Linked DNA regions of Drosophila melanogaster. The protein of the gene in region 2 interacts with the protein of the main gene of each other region in a pairwise test. Each region holds a gene or a part of one and is shown on either strand. Other genes may lie near its edges.

What was found.
Region 1: the proteins of cpo (region 2) and Mst98Ca interact in a two-hybrid assay, tested with the Drosophila melanogaster proteins (one large-scale study listed by BioGRID).

Annotation. Positions count from the first base shown.
Region 1 is NT_033777.3:28,289,141-28,294,005, reverse strand, and holds Mst98Ca (Male-specific RNA 98Ca), read right to left. Parts: upstream 2,669-4,865; 5' UTR 2,548-2,668; coding exon 1,543-2,547; 3' UTR 1,350-1,542; downstream 1-1,349. Other genes in the region: Mst98Cb (Male-specific RNA 98Cb), read right to left, coding at 294-1,091.
Region 2 is NT_033777.3:17,917,545-17,923,588, forward strand, and holds the start of cpo (couch potato), read left to right. Parts: upstream 1-2,287; 5' UTR 2,288-3,925; intron 3,926-6,044. UniProt on the Drosophila melanogaster protein: May play a role in the development or function of the peripheral nervous system by regulating the processing of nervous system-specific transcripts.

The DNA of each region.
Region 1 (4,865 bases), about 10 Mb from region 2:
AAATAAAAATTCCCCAACAGGCCTTTCGAAACAAAAATCCCGAATCTCAACTTTCGTTATCTGAAAAATACATAGCATATTAAATGCAATGAAACAACGAAATTTCCGAAACAAATGCCCGAAGAAAAAATGTGGTTTAAATATTGTATCAATGCACTTCTTTAATTTACAAAACTTGCAAAGTTAATTTGGACTGTCATATAATTGAGCGCGGATGTGGACTTCCATAACGCGGAGTTGTCACAAAATGTTTTTGGCAGACGTCAAGTAGATCTTTCCAGCTGTTTTACAGATCAGCATGGTCCGCAAGGACCGAAGCCACAAGGGCCAGGTCCGCAGGGTCCACACGGTCCGCATGGACCACAGCCTGGTCCGAAGGGTCCGCAGGGTCCACAGGGTCCGCAAGGACCGCATCCTGGTCCCCAAGGTCCGCAGGGTCCGCAAGGTCCGCATCCGGGTCCACAGGGTCCACATGGTCCGCATCTGCCCTCAGCCACTGGGTATTGGTTTGTGGAGAAGCAGGGCAGCGGACAGCAGGGTCCTCCAGGAGCACATGGTCCAATGGGGCAGGGTGGGCACGCTGCACTGGGCTTGTAGTTGATGGGTCCATTTGGATAGCAGCAGTACTCCCTCGGCGGCGGAATGTCGATGGTTTGGGGCTTCGGCTGGCAGAGGATCGACTGACACACCTCACGTGGTTCGCAGACGCGCTTGGGATAGCACACCACATAGGGGTCGGGGATCATCGAGGGGTAGTAGATTACTCTGGGTTCTCGCACCATCTGCGACACCCAAATCAGCTTGGGCACCTTGATCACCCGCGTGGCATCAACGACCTTTGGAATGGTGATCTGCCTGCATCGGTTAACCACCATTGGCTCCGGCACAATCTTCTCCGTGAACACAACGCGTTTCTTGCAGATCATGCGTGGTGGTTGCTGCACGGTGATGCATTTGGGGAAGGGTGGTGGAATACGTGGAGCACATTGTGGCAAGGCCTCCAATTGGGCGGCATTGTAGCACTTGGGTGAGCACTCGAAGGGACCGCAGCAGGGATCGCATGGACTACAAGGACCGCACGGAGAGCACATTTTAAGTTTCGACTAGAATAAACCGAAAGAGTAAAAAGTTAATTTTTGTTTTTTGTTTCTTATAAAATTTGATCAGAGAAATTTAGAAGTGTATCGAAGCGAAACCGGATTCAAAATGCGAGCTAAGCCTGAGTAACGAACATAGGTAGATTGACAAGCAGAGGCAAGGCCTACTATTTGACAAAAATTTGGTAGAAAATTTTATCTGGATAGAAACCATTGCATAACCTGTCAAAAGAAATTGAAAAAACCTTATATATGCATAAATCCGATTTTTATTTACAGCCAATGAGTCGTCCATGCGTTGACAAAGTATAGAGAACTGTAGACTTTTTTGGTGGTGTTTGAGCAGAACGGCGAGAATACACTATGGCAATCTGTATTGGTGATAGACAAGTTGGTCCACTGGGCACCGGTTTCTGACAACAATCCAGGCAGCACAACGATGATGTTAACAGGGGCCGCTGGGTCCACAAGGCACTTGAGGACCGCAAGGACCAACTGGGCCGCAGTGGGTATTCCAGGGAGTTGGGGCGCACGGGTAGCAGGGGCCGCACTCGGGTGACTCGTACGGACACGGGGGCGAACAGGGTCCGCAGGGTCCGCAAGGACCGCAAGGACTATTGCCGAGCGGTCCACATGGCCCGCATGGAGCACAGGGTCCACACGGAGCCGGGACAAACGGACCCGACGGCATTGTGAGGCCGCAGGGCCCGCAATTGGGCACGGCGCACGGTCCACCCGGACCGCATCTCGGCCCACAGGGTCCGCACGGGCCGGGTCCGCAGGGACCACATCGCGGACCGCAGGGTCCGCATCCTGGACCGCAAGGTCCACAGGGTCCGCACCTACCCTCGGCAACGGGATACTGGTTTGTGGAGAAGCAGGGCAGCGGACAGCAGGGTCCTCCAGGAGCACATGGTCCAATGGGGCAGGGTGGGCACGCTGCACTGGGCTTGTAGTTGATGGGTCCATTTGGATAGCAGCAGTACTCCCTTGGCGGCGGAATGTCGATGGTCTGTGGCTTCGGCTGGCACAGGATCGACTGACACACCTCCCGGGGTTCGCAGACGCGCTTGGGATAGCACACCACATAGGGATCGGGGATCATCGAGGGGTAGTAGATTACTCTGGGTTCTCGCACCATCTGCGACACCCAAATCAGCTTGGGCACCTTGATCACCCGCGTGGCATCAACGACCTTTGGAATGGTAATCTGTCTGCATCGGTTAACCACCATTGGCTCCGGCACAATCTTCTCCGTGAACACCACGCGTTTCTTGCAGATCATGCGTGGTGGTTGCTGCACGGTGATGCATTTGGGGAAGGGAGGTGGAATACGTGGAGCACATTGTGGCAAGGCCTCCAATTGGGCGGCATTATAGCACTTGGGTGAGCACTCGAAGGGACCGCAGCAGGGATCGCATGGACTACAAGGACCGCACGGAGAGCACATGTTTTCGACTTAAGTTTTCCAAAATAAAATTTCTAGAAAAATATTATACTTTATTTTTGTTACAAATTTTTACTGTTCAATTTGGAAGTTATTCGGAGCGAAACAGGAAACTGAATGAGATATAACAGTAGGACGACAGCATTGCACAATAATCCAGGCCCACTTCGATCGAAATTTGAAAAACCGAGCTCTACGATCACACCCTAGTGTAGTGTTTTTGTTGTGCAGGTAAGGTGAAAATCGCTTTGAGCTTTGAATGGAAATATATGCTTACAATACATAAATCTGGTGGATTCGATTGCTTAACCGATTGCAATGAAAAATCACAGAACGCTGCTTGAATGGAATGCATTTTGCAAACCGGATTCCATCTTCACATGACGTATGCGCGACGTATCTGCATATATTTCAACAATATGGCATCTGCCGTTGAGTGGGTTTAAGCCTTTAATATGCTAGCGCCTTTATGTAGGCAGGCCGCTTTTTTCGGACCGGCCGAAAGCCAACTTGGAAAAAACCTACAACGAATTACAGAAAAACGTCGGAAAACACTCTGGCAGCGCCCGGCCTATTGAATATACATATATGGGTTTGTTTTTGCCCCAGTGCCTGGACATGTCAGCGCCGAAAAAAAAGCGTTTTGGTCGGTATGGTAGTTGGTAGTTGGATGGCATATCCTGAAAGCTTTAGTAGGTGGGGGGGGGGGGGGGTTGCTGGGTGGATGGATGGGCGTTGCAATCGGCGCTTTGTGCATGCCACAGCCATGACGACACTGAACAATTGCGCATTCACAAAAAACTACAACAAAGAGCGTGGTCACAGCGGACCATTGATGTTGACAAAGGCTTTTGCATGCGATTCAGGTGAATTCTAAAATATTTGCTCCATTTTAAATGCCAAAAGCGAGGGGCAAACGCTACAATATGTGCTCGGAATAAGAAACGTTCTGGTATTCAAACAATAAATATAATACGTTTTAATATTTTCTTAATAACACACGACTTTTATTAATTCTACAAAATTTCATTTCCTCGAATTGATAGTCACATTAGTGATAGCTAAGAAATCAAGCGATATTTTAGATGGCCTTTGCTCTTCAGAATTAGTTGCTGTCCAATAGTTCCGGTTATTTAAATTAGGAAATTTAATCAAGTTGCTTCCAGGAAGTTGAGATACAATAAATGTCTAAATTAAACCAATTTAAAGAGCAACATTGGTTCAATCGATTTGAACTCGGGCGTTTCCCAAGAAAACCGTCCACTTCTTTGGCCTGCAATAACACGCCGTTGGCTTATGGTCGTAATCATGCAAGAAAAACATCAACTTCTTGGACTCGAGTTGCCCTGGAGCGCTTATCGAGCGACAGGCTGATGGTGCCCGACCAAGATTCTAGCCACAGACAAAGCGCCTGCTAATCCCACAATTTCCAGAGCCCAAAGAGCCGGCCTAATCACAGACCCACCACTTGGCATCACAGTGCCACCGAAATTGTCAGCTAATAATGCAAACAATAACAGGCAACAGTCCGAAGAAATGGCGCACATTTCGCATAATTATGGACGGGGCCTTCCCCGAAACCCGGTCGAGATGGCCCGGCTAAGGCGGCGCAATTAGCGGACTTAGTTCGGGACTAGGCCCAAAACAATGTTGGGCTGGGAAATGGGAAAATAAGCACAGATTGCCCATAAATTGGCACCCACAATGCCTGCTGGAGTCAAGATAGAGGCGCATTTGTCGAATAATTTAGGCACTGTGTAGAAATGTTTGTAGCTCAATGAAAGGTTTTATTTTTAAGTTGTAGGTATTCCATTTATTTTCATAAATAACTTTAATAGTTCCCAATAAACTGATGGACCTCCTGAAACACACACACATTTAGTTCTTATTGTTTGCTCACATTCTTTGCGGTACTTTGACGTTGATAAGTATTCTGATTTATTGACAAACAAACTGTGAGTGTGCGGGTATTGCGGCGGCCTTTATTTAAATTTATATATTTATTTATGGGCTGCGCACAGCATATATATATTCACAGACATATACGCTGATGGATCGTTGTTCTATCGGAGTCGGGACTTAACCTACTGAAGCGCAGACGTGAATAATATTATTGTATTTTAAATTATTAGCGGTTCGAAATCTTAACTCCATTTATATACATAAATATACATACAAGTTAAATGAGAAATTTAATGACATAACACTTTTAATAAGGTCTGAGAATCAATTCAAATATTTGCCATAATTTTAAATGGGTTAATCATATTTTTCGGCTCCCGCTTTTTTACGCATTTGCTTCGATGCATTTCCGTTTGATT
Region 2 (6,044 bases):
CACTTCTGTTGCATATTTCTCAATTGGCTTGAGTTGTCGTCGCTGTTATCGCTTTTATCTGTCAGCTTATCGCAGCCATCATGAGATTTGGCGTAAATTGTCACAGCCACTCCAGGCCAGCCTTCCTTCACCAGTGCATTTCCTTTACTTTGGATGCCTTTGGCAGAGTTACAGAGAAATAAATAAGTAATATTACTAATATGCATACGAATCAATGCATAGTTATTAAATATATCGAACAAATATCTGCAGTATCTTATTTGTAGTTTAACTATCAAAGTCCCATATAACAATAGTTTTAGTTTGGGAATTGATCTAGGTACAAATTAAAAATATTTTTATTATAATACTAAAAACCATTTAATTAATAGAATATTACTTTAGTTTGTCTTAATTCAACTACAAATTTGTTCTCAGCGTATGACAGCTGAAAACAGAAAGATAAACGCGTTTCTGGCTGTCGAAACTCTTATTCCATTGCTGATAGCCTGCTCACGTGCAGTGTCTTCGGCTCGCAACACTCGCACACCCGCAACACTCGCACAGTCGCCGGCACACACACACACTGGCACACGAAGGGGAGCGATTGGATTTCCGGCGGAGATGAGAGCAAGCTACGTGGGCGGGGGGAGTGGCAGGTGGAGTCTGGGAGTGCCAGGAGCTGTATTTGGCCGCCAGCATTTTCCGATGTTGCCGCTTACTTTGTAAGTGTGCGTGTGTGTGCGTTTGTGTGTGTGTCTGGGCGGCTGACGTCATTGAGCTTTTTATTGATTTTCATTTTAACCAAAAAAAAAAAAGAAAAAACAAGAAGAAAACATACTTGGGCTAGGACGCAGGGCAGGAAGGCCAACAGATGTCATCCAAGAAAAGTCGAAATGCGCAATTAAAGAGAGAGAGAGAGAGACTGCAAAGGGGGCTTTCTCGAAGGAAGTTTTTGACAAGAATTTCTTGGGGCCAGCGAATGCTGTGTTGTAAGGTAATTACAAGGAAGAGATGCTTTACAATTTCTAAGAGTTAACTTTAGTTGATTTCAAGCTGCACGTGAATAAAAGCACTTCAAATACAAGTGAAAGCCCACAAACGTATTATGGTGTAATTTAATTTATTGTTTGCAAGCTCAACTGCGTAATCAGGCTGTTTATATAAGTGTACACATATAAACCTGATGTATTTTGATTTTTCTATTATTGTTTGTCAAACAATCGTTATGGCTGATTTTGTTATTTTTGTTGCCTGGTGAAAGCTATGGAAATTAGGTCTATTTGCACAGGCAATTAAAGACTGCCTGGTTTTGGATGAGCACAAATTTAAATTTAAGTTGAATTATAACATATTTTAAAAAAAAATTATAATTACTTAAGGCATTGGTTATCATAACAAAATATTGTGCTACATCACAAACAAAATGCATATTTGTTCGAAAGGGTGTTTTTAAAAAACTTCTACCTCTGTCATATAAATTTAATTAAAAAAAAGTATGTGATTTAATTGAAATTAAAAAAAAATTCTTTAAATTTATTTTACAACAATGATTTTAATACGTATTTATTTTAATAGAAAAATATACATATTTTTGAAAATCTACATCTACAACTAAAGCGACACCTGCCGGCGCGCCACTACAATTCAATTGTGCGGCGAATTAGAAACTTCGCTGTATTAGCCAAGGCAACCACCGGAAATAGTCATAAATTTAGCCGATTCAGCTACCATTGTACCAAAGTACGCCTTTCGTCTTCTCTAAAAACCTGCGCAGAATTAATACGCTTTCTATCTTTCGCTCTTCTACGGGATATGTCAAAGTGACAAGACCATTAAGGCAGACAATGTGAAAGCTATATAAGCGACAAGAGAGCGAAAAACAAACAGATAAAGATAAAGCCACCCCCAAAAAGCCGCCCCTTGCCGTAAAACACGGACCCCCACCAAATGGAAGACAGCCAAACAACCCCCGAAAAAGCAAGGAAAAAATTCAGGAAAAATACCTGAATGAGATTATGATGGGCCTTGAACGAAATGCAAGGGCCAGGGAAAATTGAGAATTTTATTTCAGGCGGGGGGTTAATATTAAGGAGATGCACCACCCACAACAAGCACTTAATAACAAATGTGTGCGTGTGTGTGGGCGCTCTCGCAGGACTTCCGTTCGCTCTTTTCTACGCTCTCTTGGATGCTTTTTGGATCTGCGCGCAGCAATCTCAACGAGATGGGGCGAAAATCTCTAATAAGGATGCCCGATGATGAAAAATTCATGGCCTGGCATCGCACGCATCCTGCGCTGGCTCCTGAGTAAACGAAAACACTCCGACTCAGTCACACGCAGCGAACACAGAGGCCAGCGATATATATAGTGAAAACCCCGAAAAATATAGCCAAATTGAGACCAATATCTGAAATTGTGCGATAAATAAAACGCTGCATACCCCGCAGGGCGCAGCCAACTTATTCCGAAGCCAAATCGAGAAATTCTTCGAAACGCGAGTGCCACCAAAAATTTATTGTTTCGAATTCGCAGCCAGTGATTGTATAATTTCCATTGCTTTGCTATTTTTACGGGTGTGGGCCGTCCAACGGCAGCGGCAAAGAGGATATATCTATCTACATATATCTTCCAGGATATACGGATTAACCCAATCTGCGCCAGAGATAATTACCGAAAATCGACAAATTCCCGGGCATAAAAACTTAATTGACTTGAATAAATAATTTCCAACCCGAGTTGTTGTTGTTTGTTCGCCTACGGTTTTTTTCGGTGAAAGCGAATGCGGGCCCAAAGCGGAATCGGAAAAAGTTACTGAAATACAACGGCAGGAAAAAAAAACGAATACATAGAGAAACTGCCGCTGCCGTTGCCGCCTGTGAAAGCAAAGAGAAGGGGGTGGAGAAGGAGCGTGGGCAAAAAGAGAGCGAGAGGAAGAAAGCGCGGAGGAGGTCGCGGAGTTGGAGAAAGGGGGCTCGAGGAGTAAGAGAAAGCAGCCATTACTGCGAAAGAGAGCCAGAGTCGGAAGAGAAAGTCCAAGAGACAACATCGCAATTTTGTGGAAGACATTCACAGTGGATGGAAAATTTATAAACAAAAGTTAAGCCCTTAAGAGAATGCTGACAAAATAAAAAAAAAACGCACGATAAATATATTTTAGAAATGTAACTTAAAAGAAAAGACTCATATCAACACATATCATTCTATAGTCTATAGAAAATATTAAATAACTAAATATACAACAACAAAAAAAGCTGAGACAAGCAGCTAAATAATTCCAGCAATTACCTAAAAACCAAAACGATATTTTATTGTCTTAAAAGAATAGAAACCAATGCGATAACCATACATATCATGTAAATCGTTTAATGCCAAAAGGTGAAATATGAAAAGTATATTAAATTAGCACATTTAAAAGAAATGTAATTCAAGAAATTAAAAAAATCTACGAATGGAAACGTAAACATATCATGTAAAACGCCTAAAAAGCTTGCTGAATCCCTAATCAAGCTTTTTTATCTTATCAACAAAATAAAAAACAAAACAAATGAACTAGCCTAAGGAGAGTTGTGCAAATTATCGCATACATATCAAAGCTCTTGCAAAGAGCAAATATAAATATTAAATTTACAATTATCTAAGATCTAGTTACCTTAGAAAATCCAAAAGAACAGTAATTTTTGTTAGAAGTTTTACATTAGTTGTCTCGAATATAACAAGAGAGAGATATATACATACAACAATATTGTCACATATCATTGAGGAAGCCTCAGCAAAAGTCTAAAACTATAACGACTAGAAAACATATCAATTAAATTAGACTGCGTGTTTATGAATGCTACGCGAAAATATTAATTACTTTATCAAGCGGACCAATTGCAAATGACGAGAAGACTTCATTGAATTCCAGACGACGGATTGAAAAATAACTAAAGTTCTTAAAAGGTAAGTTTTCACAATAATGAAACCATTAACTGAAAATGGTGGGCTTCTGTGGAATAAACGTAAAGGATTGTGTCATCTGAAACGATATATTAATATTAATTAGAAACAGAATATAACATTTTGCTATGATGTTTCCGTGCATTAGTCAACGGTAACGTTGTGGTGAAAATTGGCCTACACTAATTGACATTCTCTCTTTACGTCAAAGGGCTCTTAATTAGAAAATCAAATCCGAGAATGCTTTTGTGGTTTTGGCGAGCCGCCTCCCCACCAGATGTATTTCCATACGCCGAAAGCAATCATAAACTTTTAGCCCTAAGCGTGTGAGCTTAGGTAATCCACAAAACAGCCCAAAAATAAAACCGTTCGGGACCCCAACATTTTATGCGCCAATGGGTCTGGAGGGTATTCGTGTTTCGCTAAACCATAATGAGCCTGTCGAAGTGAAATTTGTTGCTGCAGCGCCTAGGATCATGCCACAAACATCTGCAAGCACCAACATACGGGACAAAATCAATAGGCGGCCATGTGTGTGTGTGCATGTGTGCGTGTGTAGGTAAACAGCTAGAAAAATCAACCGACACACACGCAAGAGGCGGTGGAAAAGCGAGTGTGTGTGGAAGGAGTGAGAGAGAGAGAGAGGGGATTTTCTCCTTCGTCTCCACGCGCGCTATTAAAATTTTCATTTTTATGATTATCGCTTGTGAAAATCCGCAACAATTGTGCCGGTTCACACGATGCAAAAGGGACTAAGCACACGACGCACAGGCAGGCAGCAGGACACCTACGATGATGAAGCCGCGAGCCAGGGAATACAGTGCGTATGCGTGTTATTTCTCCGCGACTGAGCAAATGTTTAACTTTGGGCATAAAATTAAATTTAATTTTCAATTATCGCGGCTGGCAACGGTTTGGTTTTGGCCTTGCAGGAACAACTGCACCCCACGGCGGAATAACGAAGCGATTAAAAAAAATGCTCCAACTGGCCGAGAACTGGAGTTTCAGTTGGCTCACCTTTTGGCCATTAGAGCTGTGGCCACTTTAAGGCCGCTCTCGCTGCAGCTGGCTCACTTTGGGGCATCAAAAATTCATCTTGCCGGCATCCAGAGCTCTCCATCAGCCAGCGGCCAGTAGCATCTGCTGACTTTTCGCCATTTCGCGCGCACTTTCCCATTTTCCCCGCACTCACTTTTTGCCATTTTCTTCTTGGCCTGGCCTTCCATCTCCACTGGCCAGTTCTGGCCGAATCCCCCTTGCGCTGCACACTTTCGGGCGCCAGCACCTAATGAGTGCAAAAATGAGCTTCGGGAAATGCTGAACGGCAGCAGCAACAAAGTGGCGCTGGGAACATGAAAGGACACTCTCCCAGTAGCCTTGGATATCATAATTACACTGAGCTCATCCTCAGTCAACTATGTAATAAATACGCCCTTTAAAGTGGCTTTTTATGAAAGGAGGTGTTAATGAAAGGGAGAAGCTCGCCATTTGTGCAGCAATTCATTTGGCTTAAAGTTCACATTCGTATGTATTAAATAAAAATATATTGGAGATTCAATAGCATTTCATATTTTACATGTAAGTTCTTCAACTTTCGTCTTAAAAACTCTGCAGCTACGAAAATGTAATGACCCAAATATGCAAGCTTTTTTATGTAGATTCATTCCAATGAAAATACTCAGTTTAAAGTTACTTTACTTCCGTTGCGAAATGCGTCGCCTTCTTTTGGCCAACTTAAAGTAGCCAGGGCAGGGCTTTTTTAGCCAACGTAATGCCAACGGAACTTTCCACCAAAGTGGGTGAAGGTAATTTTCCACGTAGTCGTGTCGACATTTCATGCAAATTGTTTTTTTTTTCTTTTTGTGCAGATTCTCAGGCTTGTTCTCGTTCTGTTGCGTGAGCTTATTTTCTTGATGTTTTCAGCGCTACACTTATTTAAAGTTTCGCAGGATGGAGTGCTGGATAGAGCGGCATTTAAGCGGTATTCATGAAGTCCTCAACATTTTGCTAAGCTCAAAACTTGAGTGAGTGCATGGTTTATGGCATTTCTGGGCGCTCACGCAGGTCGATTGCCAGCCAGGTGATGTCATCAGCTGGGCTGCAAAAAGCCAGTTGAGGGAGG